2 linked regions of the Oryctolagus cuniculus genome follow. The protein of the gene in region 2 interacts with the protein of the main gene of each other region in a biochemical or structural test. Links are inferred from orthologs where the notes say so. Each region holds a gene or a part of one and is shown on either strand. Other genes may lie near its edges.

The links.
Region 1: the proteins of EHD1 (region 2) and SNAP29 form a complex in vitro, tested with the Homo sapiens proteins (2 studies listed by BioGRID). The link is inferred for Oryctolagus cuniculus from reciprocal best matches to the Homo sapiens genes EHD1 and SNAP29.

What each region holds. Positions count from the first base shown.
Region 1 is NC_091452.1:29,624,647-29,631,767, forward strand, and holds part of SNAP29 (synaptosomal-associated protein 29), read left to right. Parts: intron 1-2,220; coding exon 2,221-2,417; intron 2,418-7,121. UniProt on the Homo sapiens protein: SNAREs, soluble N-ethylmaleimide-sensitive factor-attachment protein receptors, are essential proteins for fusion of cellular membranes.
Region 2 is NC_091432.1:6,626,398-6,634,002, forward strand, and holds the start of EHD1 (EH domain-containing protein 1), read left to right. Parts: upstream 1-2,579; 5' UTR 2,580-2,712; coding exon 2,713-2,731; intron 2,732-3,640; coding exon 3,641-4,070; intron 4,071-6,529; coding exon 6,530-6,627; intron 6,628-7,605. UniProt on the Homo sapiens protein: ATP- and membrane-binding protein that controls membrane reorganization/tubulation upon ATP hydrolysis. In vitro causes vesiculation of endocytic membranes. Acts in early endocytic membrane fusion and membrane trafficking of recycling endosomes.

The DNA.
Region 1 (7,121 bases), on a different chromosome or scaffold from region 2:
ACTGTTGCTCATGTGGGATGCTGACATCTCAGGCAGCAGCGTAACACATTACACCGCCTTGCCAGCCCCTAAAGTTATCTTTTTTTGACAGGCAGAGTGGACAGTGAGAGAGACAGAGAGAAAGGTCTTCCTTTGCCGTTGGTTCACCCTCCAATGGCCGCCACGGCCAGCGCGCTGCAGCCGGCGCACCACGCTGATCCCATGGCAGGAGCCAGGTGCTTCTCCTGGTCTCCCATGGGGTGCAGGGCCCAAGTACTTGGGCCATCCTCCACTGCACTCCCTGGCCACAGCAGAGAGCTGGCCTGGAAGAGGGGCAACCAGGACAGAATCCGGCGCCCTGACTGGGACTAGAACCCGGTGTGCCGGCGCCGCTAGGCGGAGGATTAGCCTATTGAGCCGCGGCGCCAGCCTAAAGTTATCTTTTAACTCCATGAACTTTATGAAGTACACATATTTTTATGTTTTCCTCACCAAACATCAAGAACTCAGGTTACAGGTTGGCACTGCGGTGTAGCAGGTAAAGCCACTGCCTCCAGTGCCGGCATCCCAAATGGGTACTGATTCAACTCATAGCTGCTCCACTTCCCATCCAGCTCTCTGCTCTGGCCTGGGTATAGCAGTAGAAGATGGCCTAAGTCCTCGGGCCCCTATACCCACGTGGGAGTCCCAGAAGAGCTCCTGGCTTCAGATTGGCCCAGCTCCCGCCGTTGCAGCCATTTGGAAAATGAACCAAAAGATGGGAGATTAATTCATTCTCTCTCTCTCTCTCTCTCTGTAGTTGCCTTTCAAATAAATAAATAAATCTTTAAAAAAAAAAAAAAAAGGCTCAGGTTGCATGTCGAGTCCCTGAAGACCATAAAGGCCTTTCACTGACCTTTTATATCTAAAATGGGCTCCAACAAGCACACTGAGAGTTTCATTTTTTGTTTCTATAAATTTATTTTCATCAAAGCAACATTTTTTAAATATTTATTTATTTGAAAGAGTTACACAGAGAAGGAGAGGTGGGGTAGGGGGGTCTTCCATCAACTAGTTCACTCCCCAGATGGCCGCAGTGGCTGGAGCTGCGCCGATCAGGAGCCAGGAGCTTCTTCTGGGTCTCCCACGTGGGTGCAGGGGCCCAAGCACTTGAACCATCTACTGCTTTCCCGGCCATAGCAGAGAGGTGGATCGGAAGTGGAGCAGCCAGGACTCAAACCGGCACCCATATGGGATGCTGGCGCTTCAGGCCAGAGCGCCAAACCCCTGTGCCACAGCGCCAGCCCCCGAGAGTTTTTTTTTTTTTTTTTTTAACAGGCAGAGTAGACAGAGAGAGAGACAGAGAGAAAGGTCTTCCTTTGCCGTCGGTTCACCCTCCAATGGCCACCGTGGTCAGCACGCTGTGGCCGGCACACGCGCTGATCCGAAGCCAGGAGCCAGGTGCTTTTCCTGGTCTCCCATGCAGGTGCAGGGCCCAAGCACTTGGGCCATCCTCCACTGCACTCCCTGGCCACAGCAGAGAGCTGGCCTGGAAGAGGGGCAACCGGGACAGAATCCGGCACCCTGACTGGGACTAGAACCTGGTGTCCCGGCGCCACTAGGCAGAGGATTAGCCTATTGAGCCGCGGCACTGGCTTGAGAGTTTCATTTTTAATCCTTCAGATTTCCAAGATGGTATATTCAAAACTTGTTCATGACTTTGTTTTTAGGTACCAAGAGAGAACCTCTTTAAAGAGTATTTGTGTAGTGCACGTCACTGCTAAGCCACAGGGAGAATACGGACAGCAAATGGAGAGGAAGGGGCCAGCACTGTTGCATAGTAGGCTAAGCCTCCACCTGTGGCGCTGGCATCCTGTGTGGGTGCTGGTTCATGTCCTGGCTACTCTGCTTTCAGTCCAACTCTCTGCTTATAACCTGGGAAAGCAATGGGAGATGGCCCAAGTGCTTGGGCCCCTACAACCCAGTGGGAGACCCAGAAGAAGCTCCTGGCCTCAGATCAGCTCAGCTCCAGCCGTTGCAGCCATTTGGAGAGTGACCCAGCCAGATGGAAGTGCTCACTCTCTCTCTAACTATGCCTTTCAAATTAATAATATAAATCTTTTAAGCAAAAAATGATGACGTGCCCTTCACAGGTGACAGCGTCTGCCCCGACATGTGCTTCGCATTTATGGAGTACCCACATGTGGTTCTCATGGGCCAGGGAGAACTACCAGAAGGATAACTGCCACGTGTCTTTCCTAGGAGCTCGTCCGTCAGCGAGGAGTCTTAGAACGCACGGAGAAGATGGTGGACAAGATGGACCAAGATTTGAAGACCAGCCAGAAGCACATCAACAGCATTAAGAGCATGTTCGGGGGCCTTGTCAATTACTTCAAATCCAAACCCGCAGAGGCGGCCCCTGAACAGAATGGCACCGGCACCCCCCAGCCCAACAGCAGGTGAGTGTAGCAGAAGTGGGCTTTGGCGTGAACGGAAGACTTCCAGGCCTTGGCCGAGCCATGAGGGGATTCAGGAAGCCTGTAAGTTATACTTCAGGAGGGTTTTGTGTTAACCCATCTTCCCACGCCTGATTATATGTATTTGATTGGCACCTAGTCTGCAGATTGTGCATAAGTTGGGTTTCCAGTAAATTCCTGCTATACTGATTGTCACCCCAGTACTGAGAGTGTTCACCTCAGAAAGTTAGATCAGGCTGTAAGGGACTCCCTACACAATATCTGTACTTTATTTTTTTAAAAGATTTATTTTATTTATTTAACAGACAGAATTACAGAGAGAGGTAGAGACAGATAGAGAGGTCTTCCATTCGCTGGTTCACTCCCCAGATGGCCACAATGGTCAGAGGTGTGCCAATCCAAAGCCAGGAGCCAGGAGCTTCTTCTGGGTCTCCCACGTGGATTCAGGGACCCAAGCACTTGGGCCATCTTGTACTGCTATCCCAGGCTGTAGCAGAGAGCTGGATCAGAAAAGGAGCAGCCAAGACTAGAACTGGCGCACATGTGGGATGCCGGTGCTTCAGGCCAGGGCTTTAACCCGCTATACTGCAGAGCTGGCCCCAGCAGTATCTGTACTTTAAAAAGTCATTTTTCCCACCCAGGTGTTCTACATATAATTCAATTTGCCCATTGCTTTTCACTTTTTTATTTATTTTCATTTACTTAAAAGATACAGGGGCAGACACTGTGGCACAGCAGGATAAAGCCCCAGACTGCAGCACTGGCATCCCATATGGGCACTGGTTCAAATCCTGACTGCTCCACTTCCAATCCAACTCCCTGCTAATGTGCCTGGGAAAGCAGTAGAAGACGGCCCAAGTCCTTGGGCCCCTGTAGCCACGTGGGAGACCCGAAAGAAGCTCCTGGCTTCGGATTTGCTCAGCTCCAGGCATTGAAGCCATTTGGGAAGTGAACCAGCAGATGAAAATTTCTCTCTGTCTCTCCATAACTCTCTTTCAAATGAATAAAAACAAATATTTTAAAAAATAATACAAAAGGCATAGAGGGATTTTTCCATCCACTGGGTTACTCCCCAAATGCCCACAACAGCCAGGGCTAGACCATGCTGGAGCCATGAGTCAGGAATTCCATACAAATCACCCACAGAGGTGGCAGAGCAATAAGGCCTTGAGCCGTTGTCTGCTGCCACCTGGGAGCCTCAGCAGGAAGCTGGACCTGAAGCAGAGGAGCTGGTCCTCAAACCAGCACTCTGCTGTATCGGGCTGTAGTCTTCCCTGAAGCTGAGTGGGTCTGGGAAGAAAGGAATGTTGGTAAAGAGCCAGTAATGGTAGCAGAGAGAAGAGGTGGGGGAGGCTCCGGGCGTCTGGATCGGACACTGCAGGGAGGAAAGCAGGCCTCTGCAATGCCCTGGGGCTACTCCCGTAGATGCACCAGGGTTGATTTGTCTGGCTTAGGCCCAACCACCACTTCGCGCAGATTTTCCAGCTTGACCCTGATTTTAATTAATTACTTCTGAGATTTATTAATTCATTTATTTGAAAGGCAGAGTTACAAAGAGAGAAAGAGGGAGAGACAGAAGCAGAGATTTTGCATCTGCTGGTTCCCTCCCGAGATGACCATAACAGCCAGGCCTGGGGCAGATTCAAGTCACGAGCCAGGAACTTCATCTGAGTCTCCCACGTGAGTGCAGGGGCCCAATTACCTAGGCCATCTTTGCTGTTTTCCCAGGTGCTTTAGTAGGGAGCTGGATCAGAAGTGGAGGAGCCGGGACTCAAACCAGCACTCATAAGCGATGTCAGCATCACAGGTGACAGCCCTACCTGCTATGCTGCAATGCCGGCCCCGACCCTAACTTTAAATCCCTGTCACTCTTTCTCATAACAGAATTGGGTTTTCCTTTGGCTGCTTTTTTTTTTTTTTTTTTTTTTTTTTTGACAGGCAGAGTAGACAGTGAGAGAGAGAGACAGAGAGAAAGGTCTTCCTTTTTTGCCGTTGGTTCACCCTCCAATGGCCGCCACGGCTGGCGTGCTGCAGCCGGCGCACCGCACTGATCCGATGGCAGGAGCCAGGTACTTATCCTGGTCTCCCATGGGGTGCAGGGCCCAAGTACTTGGGCCATCCTCCACTGCACTCCCTGGCCACAGCAGAGAGCTGGCCTGGAAGAGGGGCAACCGGGACAGAATCCGGCGCCCCGACCGGGACTAGAACCCAGTGTGCCGGCGCCGCTAGGCGGAGGATTAGCCTAGTGAGCCGCGGCGCCGGCCTTCTTTGGCTGCTTTTAATTATAGATGAGTATCCCTCATCAGAAATGCTTGGGACAGAAGTGTTACAGATTTTAGTTTTTTTTGGATTTTGGAATATTTGCATAGACTTTACCAATTGAGCATTCCTAATTCCAAAATGCTCCAAGATCTAAAACTCAGCAGCGCTCAAGAAGTTTCAGATTGGGGGCAGGGCAGGAGTTGTGGCACCGCAGGTTAAGCCACACTTGGGACACCTACATCCGATGATGGAGCACCAGTTCAAGTCCTGGCTGCTCTGCTTCTGATCCAGCTCCCTGCTAATGCTCCTGGGAGGCAGCAGAGATGCAGCGAGTCAAGTACTGGAGTCTGTGCCACCCACCTGGGAGACCCACATAGAGCCTGGCTCCTGACTTCAGCCTGGCTCAGCCCTGATTGTTGGTCGTTTGAGGACTGACCCAACAGATAGAAAATCTCTTCCTCTCCCTCTGCCACTCTACCTTTGCAAATAAATAAATCAATCTTTTTCTAAAAAGGTTTAGGGTTTTGGAGCATTTAGGATTTTAGGTGTTCAGGCTAGGATGCTCAACCTGTGCCACAGGAAAGGTAGGATGTTCATTTAGTTTATTTTTTTTTTAAGATTGATTTATTTATTTGAAAGTCAGAGTTACACAGAGAGGAGAGGCAGAGAGAGAGAGATCTTCCATCCCCTGGTTCACTCCCCAAGATGGCTGCAATGGCTGGAACTGTGTGATACGGAGCCAGAAGCCAGGAGCTTCTTCTGGGTCTCCCCTGTGGGTGCAGGGGCCCAAAGACTTGGGCCGTCTTCTGCTGCTTTCCCAGGCCACAGCAGAGAGCTGGATCAGAAGTGGAGCAGCTGAGTCTCAAACTGGCGCCCATATGGGATGCGGGCACTGCAGATGGCAGCTTCACCCGCTACAGCGTCAGCCCCTCATTTAGTTTAGAATGAGACAGCCTCCCTGCACAAACCCAGGAACTGAGCAAGTCCTTGGAGGAGTAGAAAGCTGGCGAGTTGGTGATTGGACCCATCCTTGTCCCATGTGCCTCTTTACACAGGCTGCTTCCCAGGGATCTTGGAGGCCTCCACAGCCCCGAATTCTGCTACAAAAGCCTTTAAGGTTGTGAGGCTCCGACAAGGGCTGTTTTCTTTTGGGAAAACATCTCAAAACCTTGGGGCCCTCATACATTTGCAGTATTTCAGTGAGATGGGCTTCAAACGTACTCTGCCTCAGCTTCTGCCCACCAGCCAGCCCCAGTCAGCTATAGCATTCTTACTATCACCTAACAGATGCAAGAGAGCAAAGTTCTAAATGAAACAACTCCTGGTACTTAGCCATTACCCAAATGTGCATTGAATTACATCTGTTGTTGAATTTTTATCTTATATTTGAAAAGCAGAGATACAGAGATTCCAGCCACTGGTTCACTTCCCAAGTATAACAGCTGGGTCTGGGCCAAGCCAAAGCCCGGAGTCTGAAGTCAAAATGGATCTCCCACCTGGGTGGCAGGGACCCAAGTACTTGAGCCATCATCTGCCGCTCCCCAGGGTGTGCTTTAATAGGAAGCCGGAAAAAGAAGCGGAGCTGGGACTCCAATAATGGGATGTGGGCATCCCAAGCTTCGTCTCAGCTGTGCTACCAAGCACGTGACCCGAGAATCCATGCGCGTTGTAGAAGAGGCCACTGCAGTAGTGTTCCGTGTTTCTCTCCTCCTTGCATCCTGAGTGCCGCATCTGTGTCTGTGTGTGCTGGGAGTCACAGCTGCAGGAGGACAGCCTGCCGGGTGGAAGGTGTGGGGGAAGCAGACAGTCAACAAGGATACAGTAGGGGCCCTGAGGAAGGAGACGTGGTGGGGAGGACACGCTGGGGAGAGTGGCTGCAGGAGAGCCAGCAAAGAGGAGGACGCTGGATGCTTTAACAGTGTAGCAGACTGTGACACCAAAGTGTGTCCTGCAGGTTCCTGAGTCCTTCAGTTTGCAAAGGTCACTGCAATGTGTGCCCTCTTCCATAAGATGCATAAAATTGTGAGTAAAATTTTTGTGATCCTCAAAACCGTTAGTCCAGAAATACACGAGTATTTGCATTGAAAAGCTTTAAGGGGGCCGGCGCCGCGGCTCACTAGGCTAATCCTCCGCCTAGCGGCGCTGGCACACCGGGTTCTAGTCCCGGTCGGGGCGCCGGATTCTGTCCCGGTTGCCCCTCTTCCAGGCCAGCCCTCTGCTGTGGCCAGGGAGTGCAGTGGAGGATGGCCCAGGTGCTTGGGCCCTGCACCCCATGGGAGACCAGGAGAAGCACCTGGCTCCTGGCTCCTGCCATCGGATCAGCGAGGTGCGTCGGCCGCGGTGCACCGGCCGCAGCGCGCCGGCCACGGCGGCCATTGGAGGGTGAACCAACGGCAAAAGGAAGACCTTTCTCTCTGTCTCTCT
Region 2 (7,605 bases):
GTGTGCGAGACTGTGTGCATGTGTGTGTGTGAGAGTGCATGCGTGAGTGTGCGTGTGTCAGCGGTTCTATACTTCTGCCCCACCGGCTCTTGGGGCTGGGTCATTCTCGGCTGTGGGGCTGCGCCGGGCACCCCAGCTGCTTAGCAGCAGCCTTGGCCTCGACTCCCAAGTTGGCACAGCCGGGAACATCTCCAGCCATCGCGTGGTTCCCCTGGGGAGTAAGTCACCCCGGCTGAGGCCTCTGTGTGTGTGCGCACGCCAAGCCTTGTCGCACCCCACCTCGTTGGGGTTTTTAGATCATTTTTATTTATTTGAAAGAGTTACAAAAAGAGAGGGAAGGGGGGGGGAGAGAGAGAGAGAGAGAGACTGATCTTCCACTGCTGGTTCATTCCCCAAATGACTGCAGCGTCCAGGGCTGTGCCAGGAGCCTGGAGCTTCTTCTGGGTCTCCCAGGTGGAGCCTGGACAGAGTCGGGCCAGGCCAACAGAAGGCGCTGCTGTCCGGCCAGGCCACAGGGTAGACACGCAGGGGCAGCTGGCAGAGCCAGTGTCTGTGGCAGCGGCGTGGAGCCCCCAAGGGCCACTCCATGCTGCCGAGCAGACTTGGATTCTGGGAGAAGGGAAGGGAGGGGCTGTCAGCAGAGGGGCCTGGAGGGTGGCCTTGGGCTGAGTCCTGGCCCTCACTGAGGTGTGGGTGTGAGGGGCTGGGCTGGGTCCCAGTGGCAGAGGGGGACACACAGCCCCAGGCTGTGAGGCAGCCCAGACCCAAGGGAGCCGTGCAGAGAGGCCATGGTGAGGCGGAGGCCGCAGAGCAGAACATGGGCACACATGACCCGCCGGGCGCCACCCCCGCCTGGAGTCTAGGGCTAAGACCATGGCCACGCACGCAGCCACACCCAGGGGCCTCATCTGTCTTTCCAGGCTTCAGTTAGGATGAAAGGGACCCCCAGGACCCTGCCAAGGAGCCCCCCACCCCCACCGCGCCTGTCTGTCCTCAGCCTGAGGCGGGGCCATGCGGCCGCCTCCGGCCATCAGCAGCTGGCGTCCACCACAGGTGCAGAGAGGCCTCGCTGACAGCTCTTGGTGCCGTGGGCACCGCCCCTGGTGGATGTACAACCCAGGCCCCCAAGCTGCCCTTTGACCCACGCCCCCTATCTGCCACAGCTTGGAGCGTGCCCTGTTCAAGGCCCAGCCCCTCGTCCAGCCTGGGGTGCACAGAGCAAGTCCCTGCCCATCGCCAGCCCCAGCCCTTTCTCTCCTGGGATCTGAAAGCGGCCCAGGTCGCGACACCACCGTCTGCAAGCTGGGCCGTGTCCTGGCCGGGCCCCTGGAGCCCAGCACCCCATGGACACCCACACAAAGGAAGGGAGCCCCCCAGTTCTCCATTGGCTTGTGTCAAACCCGACCTGCTGGCCAGGCCTTCTCCTGATGGCAACAGCAAAACCGCTTACGCGCACTGCCCCCCCCCCCCCCCAGCCCCAGCGAGAAACTTGTGAGCTTTCGGCTCTTCGGCCCGCCCCGTCTGCCGCATCTGGAGGCTCCATTTTGTTGCTGTGGCTCTGAAGTTGCCTTTCGGGACCTTGAAGACTTTTCAGGCTGGGACGGGATGAAGGAGACCCCTGCGAGGCAGCCGGACCCCCGCCCTGCTGGCCCAGGGCCCACCCCCCCGCCGGGGTGCAGGTGTTTGTGGACGGAAGAGGAAGCCGCGCGGGCCAGAGGTGGGGATGGTTTCAGAGACGGAAATATCTGGACCCTCCCTCCATCTGCCCCAGGCCCAGGCAGAGAGTGAAACAGCAGGGAAACCAAAAGTGAAATTAGTTCACTCGCATTAAAACTTTCCCACAAACACGCACAGAGAAGACAAGACCGAACACGGGGACCGTCTCTCAGCCCAAGGCCTGGGCGCACGCTTGATGCCACAGGCGGGGGGCTGGCCCCCGGCCCACCAAGCCCCAGCAGCCAGACGGGTCCTTGGAGAGCGCCAAGCGGCCGTGCCCAACGACAGGGTCCCAGCTCCATTTATAAATAACCCAGGAACATTCTGTTTCCACGTTTCTGGGGCCGGGCTTCCCAGCACACAGGGCTCTGGGGACCTGACAGCCACGGCTGGTCAATGACAGCACTGCGGGGGGGGGGGGGGGGACAAGCCCAGCCCGGCCTGGTCCAGGCCTGCGAACAACCGCCCCATTGAGGATCCCTGCCCCGGGCTCTCCCTGCACCAGCCCAGAAACGGCATCTCCGGGGTGGGCCGGGGCCCTGGGCGGCGGCCGCATATCCTTTGGCTTCTAAGGCCGCCCCAGGAAGTCCGGACTGGGCCTGCCGGGGGCTCCTGGTCAGCAGCTGGCACGGCCTCCGGTGCCGGCCCCGCCTGGGAGCCTCAATGTCCTCTTTTGAGAACAGCACCCCCCCCCCGCACCCCCCCCAGAGTGTTACTGTGGCCCGGACCTGATTCCAGGAACGCCCATCTGTTGTCCAGCGGGCACTCAGTCCCGCAAAGGCAGAGGCCAGCAAACCTCCCCCGCCGGGCTCCGCCCCCCTCGGCTTCCTGCGTGGTCCCCCGGGAGGGTCGGAGGCCCCCAGGTCCCCTCTTGCAGGTGTCCAGACCTGGTTACCTAACAATCGCGGTGCCCGGGCTCTGACGTCACCCGGGAGGGTTCTCAGCGGCCCCAGGAGGCCGAGGCGCGGCCAGGGAGGATGGCGGGGGCCTGAGCCGATGGAAGAGCCGGGGACCGGTAAGGGGCCCGGGGCCCGGGGGGTCGCCGGCCGTGCTCCGCAGGAGAAAGCGGAAGTACTTGGGCTTTTGAATTTCCCCTAAGTTCCCACAGGCTGCGTTGTTGCCCCCGCACGCGGGGAATTTCCGATTTCACTTCCTTAAACGCTCGTGGCCGGAGGGCCTCGGCTTCCGTTTTATCGCCTCGTGCCCTGCCACGGTGCCCGCACGGCCCGTGGGCGCCCCCGGACGCCCGCCCGCTCTTTCGGACGCTCGGCTTCCTCCGCCCCTCTCCTGCCTCTCCCGGTCCCGGGGCGATCAGAGTGAGCGGGCCGCGGGCTCCCGAGGGCCGCAGGCGGCGGGAGGACGGTTCTGAGGGGAACCGGATGAGGCGCACTGTCCGGGCTCCCGGGCGTCTAACTGGGTGTCTCGCGGAGCCCTGTGGCGGGGGCGGGGGCGCACGGGTGCTCGCAAGGCGGGTAACACCTCGAACGCCGACCCCTCAGTTCCCGCCTTTCCAACCGCAGCACTTCCGCGAGCCGCCCCGCGAGGGGCGGGGCGAAACAGGTGCGGTTGCCACGGCGCCCCGGCCAGAAGCTCGCGAGATTTGGACTCAGCCAATAGCAGGCGGGGGAGGGGAGGACGTGGCACGGGGCTGGGGGCGGGGCCCGGAGGGGCTCCTCCCTCCCGCTCCCGAGGCCGCGCTGCCCCCACCCCGCGGCGGCGGCGCGGGCACCCGCACGCCGCGCCCGGCCCTATAAAGGGCGCCCGGCCGGGCGCGCGCTCCACTCGGCAGAGGGCGCCTCCGCGAGCCGCGCCGTGCGCCTGCGCAGTGCGGGCCGCTCCCGCCCGCTGCCCGCCGCCGGCCGGCCCGGCCCCTCGTCGGCCCCGCGCCCTCCGCGCCGGCTCTCAGCCGCTCTCCGCCCCGCAGCCGCCGCCAGCACCGTGTCCGGCAGCATGTTCAGCTGGGTCAGCAAGGATGCGCGGCGCAAGAAGGAGCCGGAGCTGTTCCAGACGGTGGCCGAGGGCCTGCGGCAGCTGTACGCGCAGAAGCTGCTGCCGCTGGAGGAGCACTACCGCTTCCACGAGTTCCACTCGCCCGCGCTGGAGGACGCGGACTTCGACAACAAGCCCATGGTGCTGCTCGTGGGCCAGTACAGCACGGGCAAGACCACCTTCATCCGGCACCTGATCGAGCAGGACTTCCCGGGGATGCGCATCGGGCCCGAGCCCACCACCGACTCGTTCATCGCGGTCATGCACGGGCCCAGCGAGGGCGTGGTGCCGGGCAACGCGCTCGTCGTGGACCCGCGGCGCCCCTTCCGCAAGCTCAACGCCTTCGGGAACGCCTTCCTCAACAGGTGCGGCCGACCCCACCCGCCCCCTCCCGGGCCGTGACCCCGCCGTCCTTTGTCTGCGAGGCCCCCTGGAGACCCTCGGGGCAGGGCCCGGCCCGGGGAAGACGCCTCGGGCAGCCCGGGAGGGGGCGTCGCCGGCTCCCCGCGCCTCCGGACCCTCAAATTCCAAGGCCTTGGGCAGACCCCAGCCCCTCTTCGCCCAGCGCCGGGGGCAGTGCTCCTGGCCGCTCTCGGGTCTCCACGGCCCCCCGCCCCGGACCTGACGCGCTTAATTCATTCCGAGCCAGCCCGCCCCCTCCCTCCCTTCGGGGGTCGTGCAAACTTGGCGCGGCGGGGCTGACACCCCCAGCGCTGCCTCCCCGGGCCCCCGCGGCTTTGTGCGGGTGGCATGGGCAGCCCCTTGGTGTTGGAGCGGGGCTCCCCAGCGCCCTTCCTAAGGGGTCGCTGTGGGGGGAAACAGCTCGGGGCAGTGGCCTGGTGGCCTGGAAGGCGACCCCCGAAGCTCCTTACGCTGCTTGGATCTCAGCCCACGTCCAGGGGGTGAGGGCCCTGGGAATGAGAGGCACTGGCCTCCCCCAGGGCGTGCACCGCCCAGGCCACCCCCCCAGGGACATACCAGAGGAGCCAGACCCGCCCCTCCCCCCATTCCAGGACGACTCCGGGGCTGGGGAGCTGAGGAATGGGCGCTGAGGCCTGCCCCGTCCCCACCCTACACGCCGCATTCCTGTGCAGACACTGTCCAGCCTGCGCGGGGCGGACCAGCTGGCCCCACAGCCCGGCCCAGGCTCCTCCGGGCCCGGTGCTGACACTTAATACGGCTCTTTGGGCCTCCGGGCATCTCAGGCTGGTTTGTGGCTGATGGCCTGTGAGTGCTAAGGTCAGCGGGAAGAAAAGCCCTTTGGGCTAAGGCTCCCAGGACCCTTGGGCCTCGGCTGGACCGCGCCTGTCTGTCGGCCGCCGTGGGCTCCAGCTGTTGGGCCCCGGGAAAAGTTTGGCTGCCCTGGTGGGACGCTGGGTCCCCGTGTGCGCGGCCTGTGGGGAAGCCGTCCCTCCCCTGCTGCCCGTGGTCTTCATTCGGGGCCGGCAGGGTCTCTGTCCTCTCAGCAGCCCCCACCTGCCTGGCCCCCAGATCCCAGAACCACACTCTGCCTTCTCCAGAAAGTCCCCGGATGCCGGCGGGCCTGGTCCGAGGGAGGCACGGAGCAGCGGCCTCGCTAGTGGGGACAACAAAGGGGACTTGTCTGGCTGAGGCAGCCTGTCCCAGCCGGTCACCACCTCACTCTTGGGGGCCCCCATGTCCCAGCTGGTCACCACCTCACTCTCGGGGTCCCCCATGTCCCAGCCGGTCACCACCCTCACTCTCGGGGTCCCCATGTCCCAGCCGGTCACCACCTCACTCTCGGGGGGGTCCCCGTGTCCCAGCCGGTCACCACCTCACTCTCGGGGTCCCCATGTCCCAGCCGGTCACCACCTCACTCTCGGGGTCCCCATGTCCCAGCCGGTCACCGCCTCACTCGGCCCCCACCCAGGGGCCGCCCTCAGGAGCAGGGCCTGCATCAGGGCACCCTGAGGGTATCGTGAGAACTCCCCGCTGCATGGCCAGGCCTGCCCACTGTGCGCGGGGTCAGCGTGGCTCCTCTTGGCTCCTCTTGGGCCCTGCGCCCTGCGCTCCACACGGGTCCTGCAGATGTTCCCTCGCTTGCCTGGCTGGCGGCCAGGGCACTTGGACATGCGCTGCTCTCGGGCCAGTTTTCCAGAGCCCTCCCTTCGGTGGCCTCTGTCCAGCGACTCCCTCCCTCGCTGACCCCCAGGCCTGGGTGCCCGGCTGCTGGCCCAGGGAGGGCGCGGGCCGAGGCGCGCTCCCGCCGGTGGGCAGCTGGCTGGGCTCTGGGCTCCAGCCGCCCCCAGCCTGGGGGTCGCTTGCTGCTTTGCTCGTGGCACCTCTGTCAGAGAGGCCTTGGAAGGAGCTTGGGCGTCGAGGGAGGGCTGTGCCGGGCGCAGGCTCGTTCTGGCGTGGCTGAGCCCTTGGAGTGAGCCGTCAGCCCGTCACGCGTCGTTCTGGGCAGAGTGGTTGGCTGCACTTCCTGCGCGGCCCCCAGCCCGGCGGGTGGCCCCAGCAGGAAGAGGACGCCTCGGGTGGTTGCAGATTTCAGCGCGGGACGCCCAGGGCCCCGAGTCACCCTTCTGTTTCCTTCTGAGCGGAATGGTGACCCCGGCGCACGCAGTGTGCACGGGCGACTCAGCAACTTGGAAGCTGAACTCTCGAACTCTGGGGTCGGGCGGCTGCGCGGGAAGTGCTGATGGGGTCAGTTTGAGGGCCGCTTGCCGGCCAGCCTGCACGTGAAGACGGTGGAGAGGCTCCCGCAGGCCCCTTCTGGAAGGGAAGCGGAAGTGGAGATGCAGGGGTGAGGAGAGCAGCCCAGCTCGCTGCTGACCGCGGTCTCCCACCTTGTCTCGCGTAGGTTCATGTGTGCCCAGCTGCCCAACCCGGTGCTAGACAGCATCAGCATCATCGACACCCCCGGCATCCTGTCCGGAGAGAAGCAGCGCATCAGCAGAGGTGAGCGGGTGCCCGGGCAGGTGACAGGGACAGCGAGGACGCGCCCACGGTTCTGGGTGGCCGCTGTCCTTTCGGGGCCCTGGAATGGGGCCAGTATTGCAGCAAAGCGGGTAAAGCCGCCACCTGTGGTGCCGGCGTCCCGTGTGGGTACCGTTCATGTTCCTGCTGCCCCACTTCCAAGCTAGCTCCCTGCTGCTGGCCCTGGAGAATTCAACGTAAAATGGCCCCCGTATTTGGGCCCTGGCCCCCAGCTGGGCCTGGATGAAGCTCCCGGCTCCTGGCTCCGGCCTGGTCCAGCACCGGCAGTTGAGCTGTCGGGAGTGAACCAGCAGATGGAAGGGGTCTCTCTCTCCCTCTCTCTCCCCCCCTCTCTCTCCTTCTCTCCCCCTCTCCCCCTCTCCCCTTCTCCCCCTCTCCCCCTCTCCCTCTCCCCGTAATTCTGACTTTCAAATAAATACATGAAAATCTCTAAAGAAGACAACAACCACCGTAGGATGTGCCGGAAGCCACAGGATGGGTGGTGGGGTGGGGCCGGGCTCCCCTCCATATCGCCGACCCTGGCCGGGCCCCTGGCGCCACCTGGGGCTCGCCTGTTTGTGTTGAACTGTCCTGCGCTTGAGGCGCTGTGAGTCCCCGTGAGCCCAGCAGGGCTGTGAGTGAGCCTGGCGGGCTATGTTGAGTCCAGAAATGTGGGTGCACTCGCGTAGACGCTGTAGCGCCTCCCCTGGGGGCTGTGTTTGCAGCCTGGGGTTTTCCCACTGTGCCGTGGTGTGCAAGGCCCGTTCCAACCGCGTTTTTGGGTTTTGCCTTCTGGTTCCGGGTAAGCCTGGACTGGGTCATCTTTTCTGCCACTGCCGCTGGTTTTTTCCCTAAAATTTGTTTATTTGAAAGTCAGGGTTATACAGAGAGACGGAGAGACACATAGAGAGGTCTTCCTTCTGCTGTCCACTCCCCAGATGGCCACGATGGCCAGAGCTA